2 linked regions of the Neurospora crassa OR74A genome follow. The main gene of each other region encodes a partner of the protein of the gene in region 2 in a complex. Links are inferred from orthologs where the notes say so. Each region holds a gene or a part of one and is shown on either strand. Other genes may lie near its edges.

Region 1 (12,492 bases), on a different chromosome or scaffold from region 2:
AATTTTGCTCACATTCTGACCATGGCTTTTGAAGAAAGTGAAAAGATACAGTACGTTTTGCAGCCGACCGGGAACTGTAGCCCGATATGTCACTACGATATAGTCGACCTCTGTTACCGTTCGTGGAGTCAGTGTCACTTGCTTCTTTTGTTTTGAAAACAAGAGTAAGGCCATCTCATAGCCTCGCCCGGGTGGAGTATATGTCAGTTCCTTTCTGTATCGATAGTATAGACATACATTTCGATCTGGAGCGATAGTCGGTTGCGTTCCCAAACGCTCACCTGATTCCATCTTCAACGTACGATCGAGATTGAATCACTTCGTTCTTCTACAGAACTTGAAAGGACATATGTAAAGATCGTAGGTGAGCAAGGCTATTGGTGAATGGCGCAGGTCACTTAAGATGGAAAGCCATCTTCTCTTTCCTTAGCAGCGATCCACCGCAGACAGCGTTGTTATTGTAACATGCCCAATATCAGAAACGTGTGAAGGGAAAGAACGAGCAGTTGCTCAGCTATAAAAGAAAGCAGCAATAGGTAGTTCCACAACTCACTTGTTCGTTCTTTCACTTCTTTGACAATTGAGAGCCTTCGCAACAACCCGGTAGCCTTCCCCGGAAAGATCGACTCGGAACGCGCTCGAAGACTCCGAATCTGTCGGGCCAAGACACAACTTGAAAATCTCCGTGGAAGACACGACGTTGTACCTGTCTTTCTGACTAGAATACCTAGCGAGGTAAGTTCAAGTCGATAGACTATCACCAACCTTACAACCGCTCCCATGATGCACATCGATGCTGGCCTCATCGCATTGACTGCGCCGCACTGTGCTTCCCTGTTGCTTGAGCTTCTCCACGCTCCTTTCCCCTTCGGTGGATCCCAAATGGCAGGACAAGCGGACAGACCTTGGCGTTTGCGACGATGATGGCGTATCCCTGAGCCGTTGCCACTTGCGAATGTTCAGTGGTTGATGTCCGCGCCTCCCCTCATTTCAGCGGGCAGCGCTTGACGCTCGCTTGCTAAGGTGCGGTTCAGGCGGTTGCAACTGTGTCCGATTCGGCCCTCTGTTCAGTGAAGGTGCGTTCGGAGGGGTCGTATATAAGAGGTACCGAGGGGTGGTATAAAACACAGGCCCGAGCGGACGGACTGAGCCTGGAGGCCCAAAGTTTGGCTTCCAAGTTGTTGAAAGACCCGGACCCCCGCCTGGGGGCACTGCGCTGGGCGGGCTGCTTGCACCTGCCCACACGGCACTGGCCAGGCTGGGTGGTAGGTACATGCTGCCTACCCCAGTTGGCACTCGTCCGTTGTCCACCTCGGCGATTGGGAAGCGTAAGAGTGACAACTGGAAGCTGGAACTCGCCTTGCCTCCAGGTGGAGGGTAGGTACTATGGGGACGTACCGGATGTACCCTGGGCCAAAGCCGCCACGCCTGCCTTTCGTTTAATTCCCCGAACGGTAGCAAAAAATATTTGAAATTTGGAGCGCGCCGACTCACCAACACCTGATCCTTTCCTTTTTCTTCCTCTCTTCTTCCCGTCAACCATTCAAGCAATCTGAAGTCCGCTCAAACCACCTTCAACCAACCCCCCCCTCAAGCTATCTAGGGCACCAAGCTACCCTTCTGACTCCCCCTCAGACCCAGAGTTCAACCTTTCTCGTCCGTGAACGTCCTTACAACACCCCAGGCGCTCATCTCCCTATCCAAACGAGTCCAACGCTCACGTCACCTCCTGTGGATCACCTACTCCAACCAAGTCAACTTTCGACATCACAATCAATCACCATGTCTGCTGTCGTGGAGAAAATCACTGACGCTGCTGCCGCCGCCGTCAACGACGTTACCAACGCTCTGGCCAACACCTCTCTGACTGGCAACAAGTCCGCTGACGAGAAGCCCGCCGCCAACGATGCTGTCCTTGCCAGCGCTGCCGAAGGTCGCCGCCTCTACATCGGCAACCTTGCCTATGCGACAACGGAGGGGGAGTTGAAAGAATTCTTCAAGGGCTACCTTGTGTAAGTTTGGCTCGTCCCGCCTACCCTTTTTCCCTTTGTCGTTGTCTGCCCTTGTCCTCTCACCGCCTTTGCATTGTTTCCCTGCATCCCGCTTCCCCGCCTTGTTTGGATTGTATTTACGCGGCTGGAAGCAGTTGCCCGCCACAAACCTCACATTCCCCTTCCCGTTTCCATCATGTTGCCTTGTTTAGGCCCTTTGGCCCTTTGACGTCACGTCATCCACCTCGCTCCTCTGGCTGTGAGAGTGGGCCGCTTGCAGGGCCGTAGGGTGGGGTTGACATCCGGGTTTCTTGGTCCCGTGTTACGTGTGCTCGTCCGTTACTAACCAGTTTCGTTGCGCGCAGTGAGTCTGTTTCCATTCCCAAGAACCCTCGCACCGACCGCCCTGTCGGCTACGCCTTCGTCGACCTCTCTACCCCTAGCGAGGCTGAGCGTGCCATCGCTGAGCTCTCCGGCAAGGAGATCCTCGAGCGCAAGGTCTCCGTCCAGCTCGCTCGCAAGCCCGAGTCTAACGAGAAGGCCGAGGGTGCCAACGGTGAGGGCCATGAGGGCACTCGCCGCCGCCAGTCCACTCGTGGCCGCGGTCGCGCCGGTCGTGGCCGTGGCGGACGCGCTCGTGGCGATCGTGTAAGTTCCATTACATCATCTGTGAAGTGGACAGAGAAACTGACATCCCGACCTAGGGCGAGAAGAAGGAGGAGGGTGCCGAGGGCTCCACTTCCCCTGCTACCGAGGCTCTGAAGGACATCACCAACGAGACTCACAACAGCGACAACAAGGCCGGCAAGCCCCACAACCGCTCTCCCCGTGAGCGCCGCGAGCGCGGCCCCCCGGCTGACGGTATTCCTTCCAAGACCAAGGTCATGGTCGCCAACCTTCCCTACGACCTGACCGAGGAGAAGGTGAGTTTTTGTGCCGACCTATGCCATGACTGGAGACATGCTAACTCTTTCCACAGCTTAAGGAACTTTTCGCTGCTTACCAGCCTTCCTCCGCGAAGATTGCTCTTCGCCCCATCCCTCGCTTCATGATTAAGAAGCTTCAGGCCCGGGGTGAGCCCCGCAAGGGCCGTGGCTTCGGCTTCGTTACCCTCGCCTCGGAGGAGCTCCAGCAGAAGGCTGTCGCTGAGATGAACGGCAAGGAGATCGAGGGCCGCGAGATCGCTGTCAAGGTCGCCATCGATAGCCCCGACAAGACCGACGAGGAGGCCAACGAACCCGAGGGCGAGGCCCAGGCCCCCACCAACGGCACTACCGAGCAGGCTGGCGCTGCTGTCACTGCCTCTGCTTAAACACTCCATTTGATGACGAGATGAGTGTGCGCACAAGTTAATAAAGATTTCGGTCACAGACACTACTTTAATCTCGACCGACACATGTCTTATGTTTTACTGGGCGCATGCATTTTTACCCTCACGATTTTGGCACGGAACGAATGATTTTCTTTTTATGGCGGGATCTGCAAGTGGGTATGAAAGCGGGAAGATTGGGCGGTGGGATAATGTGATCATGTCTGGCGTCACGGGTTATGGGGGTTTGCAAAGGCCTCAAATCGCTGGTAGACTTCAGGCATCGTTATCCTGCGGCTCTTTGCAGGCAACAAAAATCTAATATTTTTCATGACTTGTCTTCTTCATTTATGTGTTATGGATCATCTTTTATCTCAGGGTCGCTTACATTCATCTAGTGTTTTCAAACTCTCATGTTTGCAGGAGATGGTCAGTCAAATCGGTCTAGGAATAGGAAAATAAGCATGATCGGGCCAAGAAGTCATTGATATGTCATGTTTAATTAATAGGAACGCCAACGGGTAAAGTGGTTTGTGATAGATACGTGTCCAGTCATCCTCAACATGGGAATCACCTAATTGTGAGGCGTAGAAGTAGTGTTGGAGGGAACTAATGGATCCACTGCCCGTGCCTTGCGTGCCTTGATGGGTGGTTGTGACAAAGTTGGGGACGGACAGTTGCAGATGTTCCTGCAGGCCAGAGAGGGGCAGCTCCCCGTTAACAAGCGGTCCCCTGAAACGCCCCTGATCTTTATTCGCAGTGCGTGACGAATGATGAGAAAAGGCCAGGTCTGGACCTTTGCATAAAACATGGTACCTACCTAGGTAGATATGAATGGTCGACATAACGGAAGGTAGGATCCTGAAGGTTGGATGGACGGACGAGCTGGCTTGTGTACACGCACCATGCACTGTGGCCTCGATGAATACTCTTATGGCTTGTGAATTTCAATTCGGTTAGGTTGTTGCTTGAATCACGTAACTGATCATATCTTAGCAAATCTAAAATGCAGTCCCAAACTCAAGTTGTAGTAATTCGTCGGGTAGATGGAACGTGACCTAATGATCAGCATGCCTCGATCTTCCAACACTTCGGGTCGGGTTTCCGTCCTGGCTGGTCGCTCCAGTGCCACTAAAACGAAGGAAGGTAGCCGTCCGAGGTAAACCAACTGCTGAAGCGTAGGGCAGGGGGTGCCTGCAATAGCGCGGGCGACTTCATCATTCAAGTCGCCAATTGTCTGTCTGACTGATTGTCCACCAGACAACCCCTACTGTAATCCGAAACATCACGCGACGCAACATAGCGCAAGGAATCCAAAGACGGCGAACTTCTTCTTCCAATTTGCTTCGACGAGACTCTGCTCTCAAGTAGGCCGTCCCAGCGAGGAATCACGTAACCGGTCGGTTCGCGCACAATTGCACGTACAAGTTGCCCACCATGGCTACCAAAGGGATGTGGGAGATAGACCCGGAGACGAAGTCCAAGGTATGTGACCGACCAACCCGCCCAAGGCGTCCAACCCGTTCAATCGCTGTCTTTGTGAGATTAGCTGCACGATCCAGAGGGGGAAAAGCGATGTGGCGGCGCAAAGGGCCAACTGGAACCTTCCAAGCTGACTTGTGACCCTTGTAGCTCGCTGCGATGCAGAAGGAGAACAACAACAACATCTGCTGCGACTGCGGTGCCCCAAGCCCGCAATGGTGTTCACCAAAGTTCGGCATCTTTATCTGCCTCTCGTGTGCGGGCGTTCATCGCGGCCTGGGCGTGCACATCTCCTTCGTGCGCTCGGTTTCCATGGACGCCTTCAAGCAGGCCGAAATTGAGCGCATGCGGCTCGGCGGCAATGACACCTGGCGCACCTTTTTCGAGAACCATTCCGACACCAAGTTGCGCGGAATCAGCTGGGACGATGCGACGATTGCGGAGCGGTACAGCGGCGATGTTGGCGAAGAATACAAGGAGAGGCTGAGTGCCAAGGTTGAGGGGAGGGAGTACGTGCCTGGGGAGAAGAAGCCACTGGCCCAGCAGCAGGAAACAAGTCAGAGTCCAAGCAGCGTGGCTGGTGGGGTGCCATTGAGCGGCACGAGCAGTAGGACGGCCAGCCCTAAGCCGGGAACGACGATCAAGGTGGACGACAAGTACTTTGCTAAACTGGGTGCTGCCAACGCCAGCAGACCGGACAATCTGCCGCCTAGCCAGGGAGGAAAGTATCAGGGCTTTGGGAACACAGTGTCGTCGCAGCCAAAGAATGATGGCGGCGCAAGCTTGCCGGGTCTCGATGAGTTGCAAAAGGATCCCGTGGCGGCGCTGAGTAAAGGGTTCGGATGGTTTACCAAGACAGTGACCCAGACGGCGAAGACGGTTAATGAGGGTTATATCCAGCCTACAGCTAAGCAGGTATGTATCCTTGGTCTCCGCTCAACAAACCATCCCTCTGTCGGACATTGGCCCAGGACACATCTACTTGGATCACTTCGAGATACATGTTTGCTAATTTGGACTTCTTCCGCCCAATATAGATAGCCGAATCAGAGCTCGCTGCAAAAGCCCGTGTTGCGGCAGCGCAAGCCGCCGTTTCAGCACAGACTGTAGCACAGGCTGGCGCCAAAACCGCGACAGAGAGTTTCAACCGGTTTGTCGAGGGAGGACCTTCCAACTCCGCTGGTGGTGGCTATAGGTCAGTTCCCTCTGGCGGTGGTGGCAGCAACTTTGACGAGAGCAAGAGGTCGTTTTGGGATGACTTCTCTAGCGCGGCCGACCAGAGAAAGCCAGCCGGTAGCTCAATCGGGACAGCAGTTATGGGCAAGGGTGGAAGCAGCGGTAGCTCCACTGCTCCTCCCCCAGCAGCTTCCAAGAAGGACGAGTGGGATGACTGGTAGATGGCTTGTTGACCCGTAGCGTCATTGGATGAATAGTGAGGTGGAATAGTGGTAATGGAATCATTTACAGCCTATGATTTTTGTCTTTTACTGTATTGTCATTTGGGCTGATCAAGGAGGTCAACGGTGTTGTGTTCAAGGTGAGACCGACTTGGGGTGTTGAGATGCAATGGTCAGGGTCAGGGTAGGGTAGGTAAACTAATCGATATTTTCGAATCGACTCCGGCGTCGGAGGATCCAGTGTACGGCGAGGTCCCGTCGCTGAGACCAGAGAGGTGTCTACAGAAATTGGTGAGGTCAAGTGATGGCTCATTGCTCTAAGCAGTATTAGACTTGATAACGATTTCTTATTTTCGTCGAGTCACTGAACCAAGAATAAGACCAAGTGCATTGGCAGTAAGCTGACAAGGTTATCATTCACATGTTGACATCGTCCTTTTGGAATGATCAAAAGAGTGACAATGCCGGGGTTGGGGTTAGGGTTAGTGTATGACCGCGGTTGGGTCGGTTCCAGCCGGCGGGACCAGCTGCATGGACACGGCCCGCGGTTCGTCATCATGGGTGTGCGTGCCGTCGGCTTTGACGTCCCCATTCTCACGTACCCCGTTCCCCATTCCTCCTACTGATGTGATTGCGACCAGAGCTCAAGCCATTGAGTCCACCCGCTCTCATCCCACCCTTTTTCCCCAGATACCACAAAACAATGTCAGCCCTACGGATATTGGTGCCCGTCAAGCGGGTTATTGACTATGCGGTATGTCTTCCATCCTTTTTGACCACCTAGTCAAGGGCAACAACATAACGGGTGTTCACGCACCATACAACAGTTCTGATATGGAGTCCCTGCTGCACATTTACATGGTATGCTGTTATTATACCTACCCGAGTACAGATGACTGATGTGGATACTCTTCCCAATCAATACAGGTCAAGCCGCGAGTCAACAAGGCCCAGACGGGAGTCGAGACGGCCGGTGTCAAGCACAGCATGAACCCCTTCGACGAGCTATCGGTCGAAGAGAGCGTGCGCATCCGCGAGGGGAAGAAGACCCCCGTCGAGGACATTTGCGTCATCAGCGCCGGGCCAACCAAGGCCCAGGACGTCCTGCGCACCGCCATGGCCATGGGCGCCGACCGGGCCATCCACGTCGAGACCAAGGAGGGCGAGGACCTCGAGCCGCTGGGCGTCGCCAAGCTGCTCAAGGCCGCCACCGAACAGAACAAGAGCAACCTCGTGATCCTGGGCAAGCAGAGCATCGACGACGACGCCGGCCAGACGGGCCAAATGCTGGCCGGTCTGCTGGGCTGGGCGCAGGCCACCCAGGCGAGCAAGATCGAGTTCACCGGCGGCGATTCTGTGCAGGTGACGAGGGAGGTGGATGGCGGTGTTGAGACGCTCAAGGCCAAGCTGCCCATGGTCATCACGACCGACTTGCGCCTCAACGAGCCCCGGTACGCGAGCTTGCCCAACATTATGAAGGCCAAGAAGAAGCCGCTCGAGAAGAAGACGCTGGCGGATTACGGTATTACGGCCGAGAAGAGGCTCAAAACTATCAAGGTCACCGGTAAGGACTACAATTCGTTTTGGGCTGGATGGAAGTTTGCTAACTCTGTTGTTCAGAGCCTCCCCCGAGACAGGGTGGTGGCAAAGTGGAGGATGTGGATGGCTTGGTCTCGAAGCTCAAGGAGCTTGGTGCTCTTTAAACCGGTCATACACCAACCAGTTACTGAGTTCCAGGATCTTGTGTCGAAGACATCTGTTTTGGCATAGAAAAATTGAAATTCACGTCCCTACAGCTGTGTTGCGGATACGCAACCGGACATGCTCTTCTGATAGCCGGTAAGGGCGTCACAATGTCTCATGGGGACCGTGACGGCCCGGGGCCTGGAGCTTCAGTTTATTCATGCATGCTTCTACGACAAGCTGGCCGGTTGAGATGAAAGAGGCTTGAGCCGGCCACATTGGCACCAACTTCGTCGCAAGATGTGTCGCGTTAAGCGCAACAGTACGAAGAGCTATGTTTTGTGTCTTGTCCTGTCTTGCGGTTTTCAATGATGAAAACCTCGCCAGGTGTCCTGGTGGTCTCTGCTTTGATATTGCGTACTCGGTCGAGTAAGCTGAATCCGTCTGAAATGGTAATGCCCAACATCCAGATGCTACGCGATGTATCAAATGCAATGTGACGTGTGGGAGCCTGTTATCCCCCACGTATTGGTGCTCGGCTGCTGTAAGGTACCACTACCGCAAAAATGCTACTTACGTGGCTTGACAAGGTGGTGACGATGTCTCTCTTCAATTGGTGTGCTGTCGCCGAGAGTATATGCTGGATCCAGACGCTATATTTGATTGTTCCCTCTTCTGTCAGCGTGCGGCCTCCGTTGTCCGTGCAGCCGATTACGACGGCCGGCTCTGGCGCAACCTGGGTTTGGAGCTTCAGAAGCTTGAAAGCGAGGCGAATCGCGACTGTACAAGTCCCCGCAACTTGAGTCACCGAAAGCGCGGGGTATCCACCATCTTTATCTGCGGCGGTAGGTAGGCGGGGACTTTGCGGGGGCTTTGCGGGACCCGACCACTCCAACTCCGAGATTCGTTGGGGGTGCCCCGGGCAGGAGATGCCGAGCTGGAGTCGCGTTGTTTGTGAATGTCGTGGCTGGGGTTGTGGGCATAGGTTGCGATGTGTAGTGTACGTAGTACATAGTAGGTATGTTGAACACCGGATGGGTGATTCCAGTTGTGAGGCTCCGGGACTAGTAGGGGTGGTAACCGTGATGGTCAAAGGGCATGTGGAACTTGCAGCGTCCCAACGAAGTCCAGGTCCCCAGTCATCCCAACGCCGCGATCAATCACCCCTCGGTCCCCGTAAATCGGCCTTTGGGACTCGCTAGCAGCGGGAGTCACCGAGTCCTGGACCAATCAGGTCGGCGCTGACCCTGTCACTGCGGCAGAAAAAAGACAAAGAGCTCAAAAAATTCTACCAGATCCAATCAAATGTCGCCCTTTTTCTATTTGCCTCACCCACTTTCGCACCCTCTTTTATCTCCAAGTTTCTCCCCTCGACACTACAACTCACTCCGTCATCAACTCTTGCCCATCTACAAAACACACAATAACCCCAATCGCTTCCCCCGACTTTCGGACTCTTTCGTCCAACCTTCTTTCTTCAGCTGAACTTGTCTTGTCGCAATCTGCCCTTATGAACGGGCGCCCGTCAGTCTTCACCTCTCAGGTACGATAACGCGATAGCCCCTCCATCGTGCTGGTATCCAGCCACCATCCACCCAGTCCATCAAAGAAGTTCCCCCGGATGAGCAATGAAGCCCCCATACCAGCCTGACTCGCGATGCTGTATCGGAGTAGTTGGGACGACCCGCCAGTAACCCACCAACCTGGGTGCTTGGCATCATGCCGCTCTGAGTTGGTTTTGGGAGATGTGGCCAGCGGTGATCCCCAAAGTTCAGCTCTTCACGGATTCCGATTGCATATCTCTCAAGATCGCGCAGACAGCCATCCTGGGGGAGACTTCTTCTCCTCGCTTCTGCCGCTTGCCGTCTGTTTGTAGTGTCTGATCAAAACTAATTCTGTTGCCTTTGTAGGATTACCTCTCAGGTCCGCATCCCCGCCGACTCCCGTTGACTCACCCTTTTCCGGCTGGAATACTGACGATGAATTTTGTGTGTTACAGACCATCTGTGGAGAGCCCTTAACGCATAAGAGCCTCTCATCACCCAGCAGCCGTACCAATCACCACCGCACCCCATCACCATTCAAGTCAAGATGTTCTCTCGCTTGGCCGCTCGTCTCCCCAAGGCTTCTGCCCTCAATGGCGTCGCCGCCCGTCAGGTTCGCAACCTGAGCCAGCCCGCCATTACCGGCAGCAAGGGCAGGAACATGCCCGCCCGTGAGCCGCGCACTACTGCCGCTGCCACCGGCGCCGAGGCCACCTTCACTATCAGGGTGCGTACCTACAACTAGTCTTCTCTCGTGGCTAAACCTAACATTTTCTCGCTCAGGATGGCCCCGTTTTCCAGGGTACCGCCTTCGGTGCCAACACCAACATTTCTGGTGAAGCCGTTTTCACCACCTCCCTTGTTGGTTACCCCGAGTCGATGACCGATCCCTCGTACCGCGGCCAGATTTTGGTCTTCACCCAGCCCTTGATTGGCAACTACGGTGTCCCTTCGAATGAGCGTGACGAGTTCAACCTCCTCAAGTACTTCGAGTCTCCCCACATCCAGTGCGCCGGTATCGTTGTCTCCGATGTCGCTACCCAGTACAGCCACTGGACTGCTGTTCAGAGCTTGGGCGAGTGGTGCGCCAGCGAGGGCATTCCCGCCATCTCCGGTGTTGACACTCGTGCGATTGTCACCTACCTCCGTGAGCAGGGTTCCTCTCTCGCCAGGATCTCCATTGGCGACGAGTACGACGCCGATGAGGATGAGGGCTTCATTGACCCTGGCCAGATCAACCTTGTCAAGCGCGTGTCCACCAAGGCTCCCTTTGTGGTTACCAACCCCAACGCCAAGTTCCACGTCGCTCTGATCGACTGCGGTGTCAAGGAGAACATCCTTCGTAGCTTGGTCAGCCGTGGCGCCTCCGTCACCGTCTTCCCCTACAATTACCCCATCCACAAGGTTGCCGAGAACTTCGATGGTGTCTTCATTTCCAACGGCCCTGGTGATCCCACCCACTGCCAGGAGACTGTTTACAACCTCGCCAAGCTTATGGAGACTTCCCCTATTCCCATCATGGGTATCTGCCTTGGTCACCAGCTTCTTGCTCTCGCTGTTGGTGCCAAGACCATCAAGCTCAAGTATGGTAACCGTGCCCACAACATCCCGGCTCTTGACTTGACCACTGGTCAGTGCCACATCACCTCGCAGAACCACGGTTACGCCGTCGATATCAGCACCCTCCCTAGCGACTTCAAGGAGTATTTCGTCAACCTTAACGACGGCTCCAACGAGGGTATGATGCACAAGACCCGCCCCATCTTCTCTACCCAGTTCCACCCCGAGGCTAAGGGTGGTCCCATGGACTCTTCCTACCTCTTTGACAAGTACATGGAGAATGTCGAGCTTTTCAAGAGCAACTCCCAGGTCTACCGTGACAACAGGCCTACTCAGTTCATGATTGACATTCTCAGCAAGGAGCGTGTCGGCGTTGAGCCCACTCCTCTTTCTAACGCTGCTTAAGCGACGAGAATGTCTTTGCATTTTCTTAGTGAACGGTGTTTGTCATTGGTCTTGGGTTATTGTTTTCCAGCACAAAGGATATGGGTTTTGTAAAAGGGACTTTCTTGGGCGACGTCCTCTCGTTATTAATGGTTTAGGGTGTATATGATATCTTTTGTTACTACTTTTGAATGCAGAATCAGATAAGTTTAGTCGGCATTAGGCTGATATGGCGCAGAGAGGACAATATCTAGTTGATACATACCCATGTGCTATCACGTCTAAACGTCTTCCAGTCGTTGTATTTTACCCATTCCTGGTGATTGCCGTATGTCTTCCAGTCCAGTACCTCCCCTAATTCGGTGCCCTTCAACATTCAGGGGTTATGTTGACAGCGTGCTGTATAAGCACTGGTTGCCGGGGAACATGGTGTCATTGACTGGTAAGCAGGGCAGCCTCTGGTTCTGTGACACCTGGTTTTCCCTGGTCTTGATTTCAAACTATTATCAAACAAATCAGCGTCGTCTTAGTAGATGGCAGGTATCTTAGAACAGAAAGTAGTTATTCTTCGTCGGATACGACTCCAAAATCATATACGAACAAGTGGAATGCTTTTATACTAATGCTTCTTTTTACTGTAATCTTGGTCTCCGCTCTTCGCTTAGCCTTCTTCACCTGGTAACCGGTATAGGTACCTTCGCACCCTCAATTGGAAGGATGCATCAACCCCTCCATGCGCTGCTTATCCTGCTATCTATCCATACATTTCTATGTTTTTACAGTGTAGAATATTTCTTGTGTATCAGGGTCCGTCCCGCGATGCTGACCCCCTGTCCTGCAGGCCATGCGCAAAGCACTTTTTTTGCTTCATGCACATGCCAGGAAGACCATCAAAAAGGCGACTTCTGTGAACCACATTACTGGCTGTACTGGGAACAAATTAAATGCCGAGCGTCCCAGACGCCGCTCCTTTGTTCTTATTTCTCTTTCCTCTTTGTAAGACACCGGGCGAAAGACAGAGGACTGGATAACAGGTAGGGAGGCCCTCTAGTATCGATCCCTCTAGTATCGATCACCTCGGAACCCACCGCCGCCTCCACCACCACCACCACCACCACCACCACCATGGCCGCGTCTCCGTC
Region 2 (12,576 bases):
TCGGCTCTTTGGTCTTGTTTTGGCTCACGTAGCGAGCAAGTGTCGTGTCGAACGTTTTCTGGGCAGCCTCCAATGCTCGCCGAGCCTCTTTGAATGTGCGAAGTTCACCATTGACGAAGTTGCGGATGGGCTCGACGCTGACGGGCTCGAGTCGCCGAACCGTGGCCATCACCCCGGTCCACCAGTCACGGGCACCATCGCCGGCCCGTCGGAGGGCTAGGAACGTATAGTCGGTGTCAATGATGGCGTCGGCTTGGGCGGTTGCATTGACGGGTGGCGGCGCAATCTTTTGGAGGTAGGCGTGAATGCTGTCCTCGAGTGCGAGCAGGTCGTTGACCACCTTGGACGTGCTGCGGATGTAGTTGTCGAGCCATCGCTCGATTACGTCAAGGTTTTCGGAGAAGTGGACGGTAGAGGCTCGGAATGTCGGAGAATCGAGAGCGGCTTCGTTGAGGCTCACGGGGTTGGGAGCGCCAGGCCGTAGCTTCTTGGTCAGGGGTAGTTGCGACTGCGTTGTAGACGAAGGGCCCTGGGTAGAACCAGATGCCGGCTGCGTTGGTTGCGGTTTGCTCGGAGCCGCGGCGGCCGGCGGCAGGACGGGGAATGCCGTGGTATCGGACATGATTTGTGGTATTCTGGCGAACTCAAAGGGTATAATCGGCGGCTGCTGTCCACAATTATGACGATCTCGTCCCGTCTGTCCCGTCGGCACCTTGTAACAAGGGCAGGCAGGGCAGCACAAAGGCTCGGGGAGGCGGGTTGCACAGTCGCAATCGAGGTGCGAGAACCTTTCTGGCAGCTGGACCGAGTCTTTGACGGTAACAATGGTGGTGGCGTATTAGAAAACTACTCTCGGTAGCACCATCCATAAAAATCCCGTTTGATATCTTGTGATCTATTCGGCTTCTCCTCTCATTATCGATTAGTAGGTTTGCTAAAAAGCCAGTCGTTACAGTTGGCGCAAAGGGTGGTGCAGTTAGTTGGTTGTGGTGGAGTTCTTGTTGGAAGAAAGTTGGTGGTGGTGACGGGATGGACGTCAATGTAAAAGGAGACAAGGCGGGATCTGGGCAGTATCAGCTCGTCCTCCTCAGCAATACTTTTAGCACACCGTCATTCAGCTGTCGTGGAGACTGGGTAGGTTCACTTCCACTTCCAGGTCGCTACACTACCTAGGTAGTGCCCGCCTGTACTACCACAGCCTGGACCGCTGCAAACGCAATGACGTTGTACACTAAACGGGACGGGACCGAGTGGTCGCTGGCCACGCAGCCGTTTCAGGCTGGGTCGGGTACGATGGACTGGAAGAAATGGCAATTCGCACTGGGGTACCTCTACACTACCTAGGTGAGTGACGGCCCGAAGACTGGGCTGCAGTGAACTGGAATCTGCTGATCCCCTGAATCGAAGCTTCCCACCGGCTGCCACGCATTCTTCCGTTCCGCGTATGGATCCGCCGACCTCCATGCCCTGGGCTGGGCTGGCTTTCAGGGCCGGTGGACTCTACCCTAACAATGAACCTAACGAAACCCCATTAGCCCTGTGGCTTGGCTTGCAGAACCCATGGAACTCCGCTATTTAGTGGACAAGGCACGCCCTGGCAGCGCACCCGACGCTAACGGAATGATTCTCATTTCAATGTCGGGCAGCCTGGCTCCGCTCATCGTTAACAACAACACACGGGAATGCGTGGGCGAAATCGGACACGAGACCGAAGATTCTTCGCGAGGATGAATCGACGGAAGTGAAAACGAGAATTTGGAGACTTTTGCAAATTGGCACTGACTGCACTACCAAAATGATCAAGTGAAAACACTTGGGAATCTTTGTTCGCAAGTACTAGACAGACCCGGTTTGATAACCGAGCAATACGGGACCTTATCCATGCCTCCCATTCATACAATGAAATTCCTCATTTGTAACAGCCTCCTCCTAATCATACATCACGAACGGGACTCATAAGTGCAATCCCCAGGTAATTGAGGGTCCCGCTTCCCGCAGTCGCCATGCCCCAATCGCATTACCGCACTTTCCGACCTTCCGCTCTATCGATGTTCTACTGGCTATTCTCCATCACCACATCTTCCTCCTCTCCTTGTTGCTGCCATGACTTCCTCGCCATCGGTGATACTTGAGTCCCGGAATCTGCCTCAAACTGGTCGGGAAGGGCATATGTCTTGTAGGCCGTTCTGTCGCGTCCTAGTAAACAGACCCTAGCAGGAAGCTCGCCCCTGGTTTTGCTCGCTTGTTGGACTTCCATCTGGATGGGCATAAAGCCAACCGCGTCAAAGAAAAGTGGAACATACGGCACTTCTGGACCTCCTATATCGATTGCTTGGGGCCTCTCTCCTACTTCGTATGCTGAGTAGGTTAGGTTGGGTGACTGATACCCGATCCTCACCAGTGCAGGGCTTTGCTCATCTGACATGGGAGTTAGCTTCATCTTCTCCGGTCTGGTTTTGTCTTTGCTAATAATTCCAAGTCGACTGACCTTTGAGTTGGCTTAGCACGAGCAAAGACTCGTCGTCCCAGAACTTGATATCAACCACGCTGGCCCCGTTGGGAAGGACCAGACTACATGCACTGCTAGAGGCTGTGCCGCTAACGCCGTTGGCGACCGGAATCGCGGTTCGTACAATGAAGACTACATCCAGTCTTAGCTAAATGCTCGACGATGCCATAAAAGGGAGACATACTCTTGTTCTTGTCACTTTCCGGTACTGTAGCAACAAATATAAGGACTCCAGACTCAGCCTGAAGTTTCGCGTTAGCAATCAAGTGCTCGGGGAGAAGTGAACTGCATAACATGACTTACCGCACTAGATCGAGAACACAGATGAATATCATGCCTCCATATCCTCTCGCCAGTAGATATCTCCACAGCCTCGTTGAAGCGCACGCTTCGTTTCTCTGCTTCAGCAATCTCCTTGAATACAATAGCCGACTTGCTAGTGAGATGGTCCACCAACTGATCGACTTGAGGTAACGCCTTGTAATAAGGCTCACCACGCTCCTGGTACTTCAGCTGCTGATCAACCAGTTCCAGAAGAGATGTGCCATCGCTCTTGTCAACAACTCTCCAGTCCTTCTCGCGCTCTTCCGCGGTAACATCACCAAGATACACAGCCAAGGGACTGCCCATCAAATATCGTTGGATATACGTCAAGACCTTGACGTTGTCCATAGTCGCCTCTTTCTCGGTCAACTCCTCAGCAGCTGCCAATGACGAAGCCAGTTTATCGATTTCCATTCGAAGCCATGACGAAAAGCAAGTGAAGTGGTCCAGCTCGTCCATGACCGCCAGTAGGATCTTGTACGAGACCAAGGTCAGCGCCGCGACCATGTCCAACAGCTTCTCGATCTGCGCGGCGTTAAAGCCGATGTTCTCACGCGAGCCGTGGAAACGAGCGAGGCCTAGGAGCCGGCTGAGCACGATGCCGCACCTCTCGAGCGCAGGCAAGAAGTTCTCATGGACGAGGCTTCTGAGATTTTGCAGGCCGCTTACAACTGCTTTATCCCAACGCTTGTGTCCCTAAATACTTGTCAGTCCTATGGCACTCTTCACATCTCCCTACTCAACTTACTCTCTCGGCTAGGCTGTCGACAAGCCACTCCTTCACCAGAGGAAACACATGTCCTGTTGCAACTGTGTGATACAATGCCTGGACTATGGTCACCGGCCCCTTGGGACTCCTCTCTAGGTCCTCTTGAACACCACGTAGAAAACGCCCAGGAAGCTCTCTTGTCGATTTCCACTCACTAACCATGTGTGACTGTGCCTGCTTCAGATACCGAAGGAGATTCTGAAGTGTTGTCGTGTTCGACGCCAACAAAGACAGGTTGATAGGCGATTTGTGTACAAAAGTGAGGTCCATCGGAACAAGAAAAAGGGATGTCGGACTACCCTCCTTGGGTCTTAGGAGGAGTGCGTGAGTAGGCACTTTATGATGGGAACTATGACCGCAAAGCTGGAAAGGACCCTCGTTTGAGGCGGGTCCTCTGGCCGTATGCGGTACATGTTGAAAGGTTCCAATGACAAATGAATCGTAGATGCTGAGATGAATGCCTCCGTCGGCTGTGCCGGTGATCATGACATGTACATTGTCCGAGTCCTCGGGCTGGTAAGGGCGGAACACGAACTCGAGTGATGCCGCGGTAGAGAAAACAAACATATCGTCCCTATAGCCATGTCAGTTACACCATCACTTTTTTAGGTTTGTCTCCCGGCACTGCAAGCTCATGGGTCCTGTACACATACCCGATGCCTCCCGACAAAGGAAGAGGACTAATTTTGGGGAGAGCAGTCTCGATTTCCAGAAAAGTCAACTCATGAGGGAGGTCCAGAACATGCTTCTTCTCATCGAGCATGAGATCCCGCCACGGCAAGTCGGGGAGGTCATTATGCTTCCTGGCACGCGACTTCCTACCAGTTTCGTTTTTGGCCCAGGCGATGAACTCAATCTTAGAAGGCTTTCCACCATGACCTGCCACGCGGATGTGATGCACGGCTTTGTTGCTTTCCAAGCCGATCAACCTCACCACGCCGTCACTCCAGCCGGCAGCTAAGAATTGGCCTGCGAATTCCCTGTAAGACAGTGGTTTCCCTCAACAGCCATCGGAAGATCTTCACTTACCATCCTCTTTCCACTTGATTGCATCAACCTTCTGGTTTCGTTCTGTATGCTTCGAGACCAACTGATTGCTGCCACGCCAGACATAGATCGTGTTACCGTCGCCGACCGTGGCTGTCAAGTCGATCACGGGATTGCATACGATTTGCTTGCCTGAGACTGGCACACTCAAGGCGCTTGAACTGAATAGCTGAAGCTGCCCATTTGGGGACATTTTGTAGGATCCGTTGGTGACTTTCAGTTGGATGATGTTATTTGGACGTGGAAAGCAGCGGCTAAGTGGTTCCAGCCTTCAACTCCGGGACGCAAGATTTTGATTTGAATGACACGCGCAAGTCCATAACTTGGCAAGTCGGTTTGTATGTTTGGGGGATTTCGGTTTTGGTTTGCTAGACCTACAGCTTCACTTGCCTCGGCGTGATGTTGTTGTTGTTGTTGCTGCTGTTCTGCGATTCAGTCGTGTGGTCTCGTCCTGCCTGTTGATTCAAAACACAGTGCAGATAGAGCAGTTGCCACAGTAATAGAAATACTGTGCAGGGGCATCCGTACTGTGTAGGTATGACCTTTACAAGCTTACCTAGCGAACTACACACATCGACATCAATTACCATACTCTGTGCTTACAACAGCGATGATTGAGTTGGATAGCTCTTTGCGTAGATAGGCTTCTTTCTATATGGTACTGGATCATGAGGGTATCCATCCCCTTAAAAATGCGTAGGGCTCGTAGCTTACATGTTACTTTCAAGGATCCCGGGAGCGTCAAAAACCTCTTGTTCAAAAAGTCAAGTATGACCTTGGGTATCAACGGAAGAAAAGGAATGACAGCTCGAGCACCCACTGGCGCGGACCATGTACAACAGTATTCATTATAAAGGGAGTTGGACAACTCGGTTGCTTCCCATACATTACTCTAATTCTGGTGTGGAAGATGATGATCGAGACGCCTGGCCGGCATGCTACGGTCGCCCTTTTTTGGTTCTGCTCAAAACAATGACAACAAACCCTACTCAATGAGGAACTTGTCGGCCACCGATCTGATGTCCTTGGAAAACGAAACCTCTTCACCTTCATCCACCAGCTCAACAGATTGAACCTAGAATGTGTCAGTTGTTCCGTCTTTACCCGTTTTTCTGACATGAGGGGGCGACATCTTACATCAACCTCCACGAACGGCCACGACTTGGAGAACCGTACTTGCATCGGGAAGAACTCGTTCTCGTCATCGGTCTGCGCCTCAAACTCGAATGATCCGCTGGCGTTCTCCTCGCTTACGGTGCCTATCGACCACTCTAGACTGTCACCAGACACCTCATACACAGCGTCGAAGCTAGACACCTGAGGCTCTGCGCTCGTGTAGGGGATGACGACAGTAACGTCCTTGAGGGTATCTCCGCCAGTGAGCTCGTACTCGACCGTCAATGTGCTGTTGCCATCCGAGCCCTTGTTGACCCAAACGGTGAAGCTGATTGGTAGTGCGCTGGTGTCGTCGACTCTGGGACTGGCCCGCCACCTTAGAACTCCGACAGAGTTGTTAAGGGGGAAACCCTTTGTGATTTGAGACAACTGGATAGCCTGGGAGCTATTGAAGACATTCTTATCGACGTTCGGGTGAGTGCGGAACTGGGCGCCGTGGGTGGGTGTGGCGCTGAGGTTGAGCTTGATCCTTGAAAGCGATGGGTCGGAGACGCGAAGCTGGAGGTCACCGCTGACCGAGAGGGATTCGAGGGCACCATCTCTCGACAGCTTGGCACTGATTGCCTCGTTGATAAGGACGTGAATAGCATCCCTGTCGAGTGTCGAAGAGACTCTGGAAGCAGCAGGCTCTGCGGCAGCTGCCGGCGCGGCTACCGGAACAAGGGGCGCTTCCTCGGCCTCGTGTCCAAGATCCCCCTTCACGCGCTCGAAAATATCCGTATTCTTGGACTTCTTGCCCAACTGCATACCTTTGCCCTTTGGCGCATTGAACCTAGAAGAATGTGAGCTTGCAGGCCAGCCTGAAAAGAAGAGGGACTAACACATACTTGACCTTGTTCTTCTCGGCTTCGTACGTATCATAGGACTCGGTGACAGCAGGTCGCACCGGCGGGGTGTATGTGGGATATACCGGCGTCCGGGGTACCGCGGACCGACCAGTTCTGGCCGACTCCTTGCGCTGCATCTCCAACTGCTTGGCTTTCCTCTTGCGCTCTTCGGTGGCCTCCAGCTCCTTGTTGCGGGCAATGATTTCCTGAATGCGCTCCTCGTGGCTTTCCATCTCGAGGAAGGTCTTGATCTGGCTGATGGTGAGGTTCTCCCGGTAACCGAGAGTCACCAGCTCATCGAAGGCGCTGAGCAGTTCGTAGGCATTTCGGAGGATTTCGCGCTCGTCAAGGCTCTTGCAGGTGCTGGTGACAACCTGGGCAAAAAGGTGGAGCGAGTCGATGTCCTGAAGGATGTTGGACTGCTTGTTGGTGATGAGGACCATGTACAGCTCGTCCAGGGGCTGGTAGACGAATCGGACATTGTCTTGCTCGACAATGGTGTGCTGAGTACCCGAGTCGGCGGCCTTGGGGAACGAGGCGAGGAGAGCTTCGATGCGGGAGCGCTTGATGTCGTTGAAGGCGCGGGCTAAGACGGCCTTGCCGCCGCGGGTGCAGATGGAGGCAGCGAGGACAACCTGACATGTTCCGTCAATCGCTTCTTCCCACCAGGAGACAGGGATGGATGAGTTACCATTTTGACAGCAGTAAACAACAACCACGACTACTGACTCGAAGGGCGCTTCGTGGTAGTGCAGGGAGCTTTGGGATGCGTTGGAGGTAAGTCGTGAGCTTCACCTCCTGAAAGTTGTCGTGGACGGGAAGGTTGATGTGGTCTTTCCGTTGCCGTGCTGAGGTGTGCTGTCGGTCAGGTCCAATTGAACTGAAGGTGCCATCTGGAGGGACCCAGCGGGCAGCGATAGGTAGAGGTACCTGGACGGCAGCTTCACTGCAGCGTCAGGGCAGTCGGGTTCAGGCGGGCCAGGGCAACCTACTGCGTACACGGTGGCAGCGTCCTGGCCGGCCGACGAGGGGCTGCCAGCTGGCAAAAGAAATCCAGGGGCACACCATAGATACAAGTACAGTAGGTAGGTACCTCTAGGCACCCACAGGGCCCGCTAAACTCCATGCGGCACTTGCTTAGGTTCAGTTTCCTTCCTATGATCAATTCTGCGAATTTCACCGTTGTCCACACACTGCGGCAAAACCAACAACTGCACCTCTTTCTTCAACACGCACAACAGACGGCCCCGTGTGTCGAAATTTCACGATTTCCATTTCCATCCAAACCATCGCCTACCTCGAAAAACCATCCGCCATCGAGAAACTTGTTTCTCAATCGCGTCAAAGCATTGCCCAGCCAATACGAGTCTCGATTACGGATCATCAAATACCTACGCTACCTTTGTGACACGCCTCGTCATCAAGAGCTTACTCGACTCCGTTGCACTTCACCCACCTCCCAGCTCCGCCGCTCCGTGAAAGTGAGGCATCCCGATTATCTGCCTGCCGCGTTTCAGCATTCCATACCTCGATTCGATGTGCACTTTTGCCCAGAACATCCGCCCCAGAACTCTTAACAGCGGTTAAATCGTGTTGTCGGATTCCGCCAGTCCACGTGTCGCCTCACATCCCTTCACCGTTTCATTTTGCGCCCCAGAAGCGCCGTTGTTTGTCGGGCGTTCTTTGTCGAGTGCGGGGTTGCCCATTCTCAGCCATAACTCCAGAACCCGTGGTCTCTATATGCCCTACGGCTTCGCTTCCAAGAAGAAGTCACAGCCTTTCAGTCCAAGACATCCACCGAAACCCATCGCCAAGCTTGGGGTTTTGACCAGTGCACCAATTTTCTACGTCTTCGCTTCTTTCATGACGCTTGCTGGACGTACAATTTCTTGACAACGGCAATACGTCGCACCTTCTTAGAAACTTCGTGGAAGTTTTGCGTCATTTTCCAAATTTTCGTTCTTGATCCAACTCACTCGTCTGTGGCGCGTGTTTTGATTGACCCGCCAACCGCCAATCATCATGGAGCAAGTTAGCTTCGACGTTCGTGCCGAGGCGGGGAAGGCGGTATTTGACGATGACTTGATGCTAGATGCCGGCATGCCAGCCGACGAGCTTGTCTTAGAACTCGACGACCTACATGACAAGGAAGATGAGTACCAGGCGATCGATCTTGATGCCCAACCCGCCACAGCGGATGTTGAATTTGCTGTCGATGACCTCGAGGCTCAGCATAATACCAACGATGAGCAAGCAGAGGCGGCAGGCGGCGTCGAGCAAGATGCTCAGGATGTCTCCATGGCATACAATGACGAGATAGGTTATGAAGAGGAGGAGGGCGTTGCAGAAGAGGCTGTTACTGAACACGAGCCCGAAGATACCACTATATCAAAAGCGCCGTCTGCAAATGACGAGAATCCAGATCTACGTGAATTGGAACAGGAAGCCCAGGACGTCCAGATTGATCTTGCTGAGTCCAAATTGGGCGACGATGCGGAAGAGCAGCCGATCGGGCGTGAGGCCGAGACAAAGAACCCTGTTGATCAGGAGGCTACTGAACAAGTTGCCGAGACCGATGTCGGTCTGGACGTCGGTGGTGTTGCAGCTACCAACCCTCTGGATACAGCTGTCTCGGGAGCTGAACAAGCGGGCGAGGCCGTGAGCGAGGATCGCCAGCTCGAGGAAAGCCAGATTGACCATGACGAGGCCATTGTTGATGATGCTGCATTCAGCATCACAGATATTACAGTCCAGTATGATGGTGGCAGTTATGCCCTCTTTGGGAACTCGGACATGGATCCTGAGACCTACTTTCTTACCGATACTGAGATCGCAACCGCACCGTTGTCGGAATTACTTGCATCTATCCGTTCTGTCATTGCCTCGGAGTTAACACCCGGAGAAGAACTGGTCATCGTTATTGACTCACTTGATTTGAACTTTGGCGAAAGGTCCAGTAAAGACTTTTTGCAGCGCAGCTTTCATCAGATCATTTACTGCTACAATGTCCTTCTAGCTAAAGGAATCGTCACAGAGACATCCCTAACGCTCAATCTTTTGGTCCGTCCGGACCCCGAGGGCCGGTTCCTGGACTTGCTCGAGGAGGCAGGCATCTGGAGCGGAGCAGACTACTCTCCCGATTACTCAGATGCCTCCGGGGAGGATGAATATCTGGATGACGATCAGGACATTGAAGATTATGATGACAATGACAACGAAGGCCTCGAAAATGATGGTGATCATGAGGATGGCCAGGATGCTGAATTTGATGACCAAGAGCATCGAGACGAGGAAGGCCAGCAAGATCAAGACCAAGAAGAGAAGGAAGATAACGAAGAGCCAGAGGTCATTGAGCTCACCGAGAATATCGAAGTTGCAGAGGATATCGAGGGTACTGAAGACGTCGAAGTCAGCGTGAATGTAGCCGAGGTTAGGGATGTTACCGTCTCGGCTGGAGACATCCAGAAGGAAGCATCAGAGGAACACACGGAACGTCAGGTCACCGAGGATGTCCTTGCGAATGAGTGTCATACTGAGCAATTCTCGCTAGCAGACAACATCGATCAAGCTGCCCAAGCAGAGCCATCTGCAGAGATTAACGGGTCAAGTCACTTTGATGCCAGTGGAACCTCTCATGGCCCGGCAGGCATCGTTGATGTCAAGCATGAGATGGACGGTGATCGGGGAGAATTTCAGCCCAGCCTTGAGGGGACGAGCAGTGATCTGGAGCTTGCTCCTGAAACGAAGTCTGCTACGGACGAACCTCAGCCGGAAAACGGTGATCATACCGAAATTATCAACGAGGAGAAAGAGGAGGAGGTTTATGATGAGGATGAGTACATCGAGCATCATGAAGAGGCCGAGGCCGAGGAGCAAGACGATCATGAAATTGATCGTACAGTGGGTGCGGAGGAGCTTGGTGATGACTTGACACTCAGACAGACGTTGGATGACGGCAACTTCTCGCTCGATATCACGGAGGGGTCTACTGAAGGTAACGCAGTGCTCGGCCGTGACGACAATCGAACTGGTAAATACCCTTTTCTTTTTTCCTCACCCACACACAACCCCAGCACACACGGCCACATGGTCGTTTTGCACACAGGCGAAGCCAAGGATGACGATCTCATTGACTACACGGATGACGAAGGCCCAAACTATGCCATGCCTGGTCTGAAACGGAAGTCCGTGTTCTCCGACCTAGTTTTCGGGGGAAAAGAAATGAGGTCCGAACAAACAGATGGGACAATGCCGCCGCTCCATAGCAAGCCCTCGGACAACGTATCCGGCGGAAGCCAACTTGCAGTTGAACTGCGACCCAACCAGCACTGCGGTCTTGCAACGCTATCTCCTTTCCGCTCCGACTCACCTTGCATCAAGAACTCCAACAGCCCCGTCAACTTCTCTGCACCCCACCGAAGCAGTGGCAGTCGTTTTCATTCTCACAAAGACTCCGATTTAATCGTCACCTTCTCTACCTACAATGTTGCTGACATGCCCTATCAAGGAAACAACGAAAATAGTACTTCGCGCAATCCCGACTCCACCGCCATGCAGGAGCAGTACACTGACGACGGCCCTAACGCGGACGAATATACTGAGGTAGAAAACGCGATCGACATCGAGTACACCCATGAGACATCGCATCTCACAGTCAACACCGCCGACCCCAAGGACCAGACCGAAGAAGGTGCTCAGGAGTTTACAACCGAAGAATCGGCCAACCGCACGAGCACAACCAATACCATGAGCGGCGACGAGATTGACTACGAAGAGAACGAGGAACAGGATGTATCGTTCGAAACAGAAGGTCAAATCCATGAGTTCAGCAACGCTCAAGATGACGACGAAATCGGATGGGGAGATGATGGAGAGGAGGACAACAATGATTTTACACAGCAGACTACAACTTCTCAAGAACAACCGCCCCTCACAGCAAAGAGAGGTCGGACTGATGACCTGGATGAGGAAGCCGAAGAGGCCGGTAAGTTCAACGAAGAATCCGCACGGGAAAACATCTTGCTAATCAGGACTATAGATGTCAAGCGTCGTCGGACCTAATCGGCCAAACTCTGGCCTCGAATATAGCATCACCCCAACATCTCCCTGCCCCTACGTTCAGTCTTCCCAGCCCCATTTTCCCCTTCTCCTCCCCTTCCTCTCTAACCGCTGTGGATCAGTCTTGTATTTTGTGAGTTGCTCTTGATGTTCTTGGTTGTTCCTGTTCGAAGAACCGACCATGAATGTGCGCTGAGAGAAGCTTTAAGCTTCAAGAATGGTAAGGTAAGTTGCAACGGATCGGCCGTACTCGATGGGGCAAGTCGTGTCCCCATACTTCATTACTCTTCACCCGATCGGCAATACTTAACACCAGGATTCGCGACAACGACCTCGAGAGCGCAGCCCACCTTCAGCCTGCATACAGCGGGCATTAACAGTCGAAAATTATGGGACGGCCTGGGGGACATGTCGCCCGAAGAAGCGCACTTTTGCTGAACAAACCAAAGTACATGGGGTATCTCAGGGATTGCTGGTTATCTTTGCAATCTTAAACTGCATACTTGGGGCTTTTCTCTCCGAGGTCCTTTAGCATATTTTATGGTGTATACTTCCGTCTGTACTATAGTCTTTGTTGGCGTTTGGTAGAACGGTGGTGGGACACGGCTAGACTATCTTTAGGAGCCCTCGAGGCTTCAGAGGTGCATTTGAATTTGGTGGATATATCCGGGTAACATGTGGTCATAGCAGTCCAGACTATGCAACATGTGGTTGGAGCGGGGTTTTTAACGAGGTATGTAGAGCTTTTCTGTTTGAGGTGGCGCATTCGGTTTGGGATGGGTGGATACGGGTTCTGCAAAACCAAAATAGGCGTTGAGAAAAGATAGCGAAGGCGAACCACGTAAGGAAAATCGGATACTTGCTTG

Evidence for each region.
Region 1: the proteins of NCU00493 (region 2) and NCU07734 are in contact, whole or in part, in a crystal structure (PDB 5FJX), measured with the Saccharomyces cerevisiae proteins. The link is inferred for Neurospora crassa OR74A from reciprocal best matches to the Saccharomyces cerevisiae genes RET2 and GCS1. Residues at the interface, in NP_116709.3 of Saccharomyces cerevisiae: Lys348, Thr349, His350, Pro351, Asn352, Leu366, Lys371, Ala372, Phe373, Pro374, Ser379, Leu380, Gly381, Val382, Leu383, Arg384; in NP_010055.1 of Saccharomyces cerevisiae: Lys348, Trp349, Asp350, Phe352.

Annotation. Positions count from the first base shown.
Region 1 is NC_026504.1:2,051,944-2,064,435, forward strand, and holds NCU07734 (zinc finger protein gcs1), read left to right. Parts: upstream 1-4,351; 5' UTR 4,352-4,737; coding exon 4,738-4,785; intron 4,786-4,932; coding exon 4,933-5,697; intron 5,698-5,819; coding exon 5,820-6,179; 3' UTR 6,180-6,577; downstream 6,578-12,492. Other genes in the region: NCU07735 (Grp1p), read left to right, coding at 1,783-2,012, 2,357-2,639, 2,696-2,914, 2,971-3,303; NCU07733 (electron transfer flavoprotein beta-subunit), read left to right, coding at 6,883-6,933, 7,107-7,743, 7,800-7,882; arg-2 (carbamoyl-phosphate synthase small subunit), read left to right, coding at 9,954-10,133, 10,190-11,371; NCU07731 (hypothetical protein), read right to left, coding at 12,413-12,492. UniProt on the Saccharomyces cerevisiae protein: GTPase-activating protein (GAP) for ARF1 and ARF2. Involved in intracellular vesicular transport. Required for transport from the trans-Golgi network.
Region 2 is NC_026503.1:4,043,774-4,056,349, reverse strand, and holds NCU00493 (coatomer subunit delta), read right to left. Parts: upstream 7,627-12,576; 5' UTR 7,347-7,626; coding exon 7,344-7,346; intron 7,288-7,343; coding exon 6,653-7,287; intron 6,598-6,652; coding exon 5,787-6,597; intron 5,725-5,786; coding exon 5,635-5,724; 3' UTR 5,275-5,634; downstream 1-5,274. Other genes in the region: NCU00495 (SipA3), read right to left, coding at 1-622; NCU00494 (hypothetical protein), read right to left, coding at 2,054-2,418, 2,489-2,641, 2,694-2,751, 2,813-3,529, 3,582-4,176, 4,256-4,571, 4,632-4,842; NCU00492 (hypothetical protein), read left to right, coding at 8,675-10,682, 11,160-11,636, 11,691-11,713. UniProt on the Saccharomyces cerevisiae protein: The coatomer is a cytosolic protein complex that binds to dilysine motifs and reversibly associates with Golgi non-clathrin-coated vesicles, which further mediate biosynthetic protein transport from the ER, via the Golgi up to the trans Golgi network.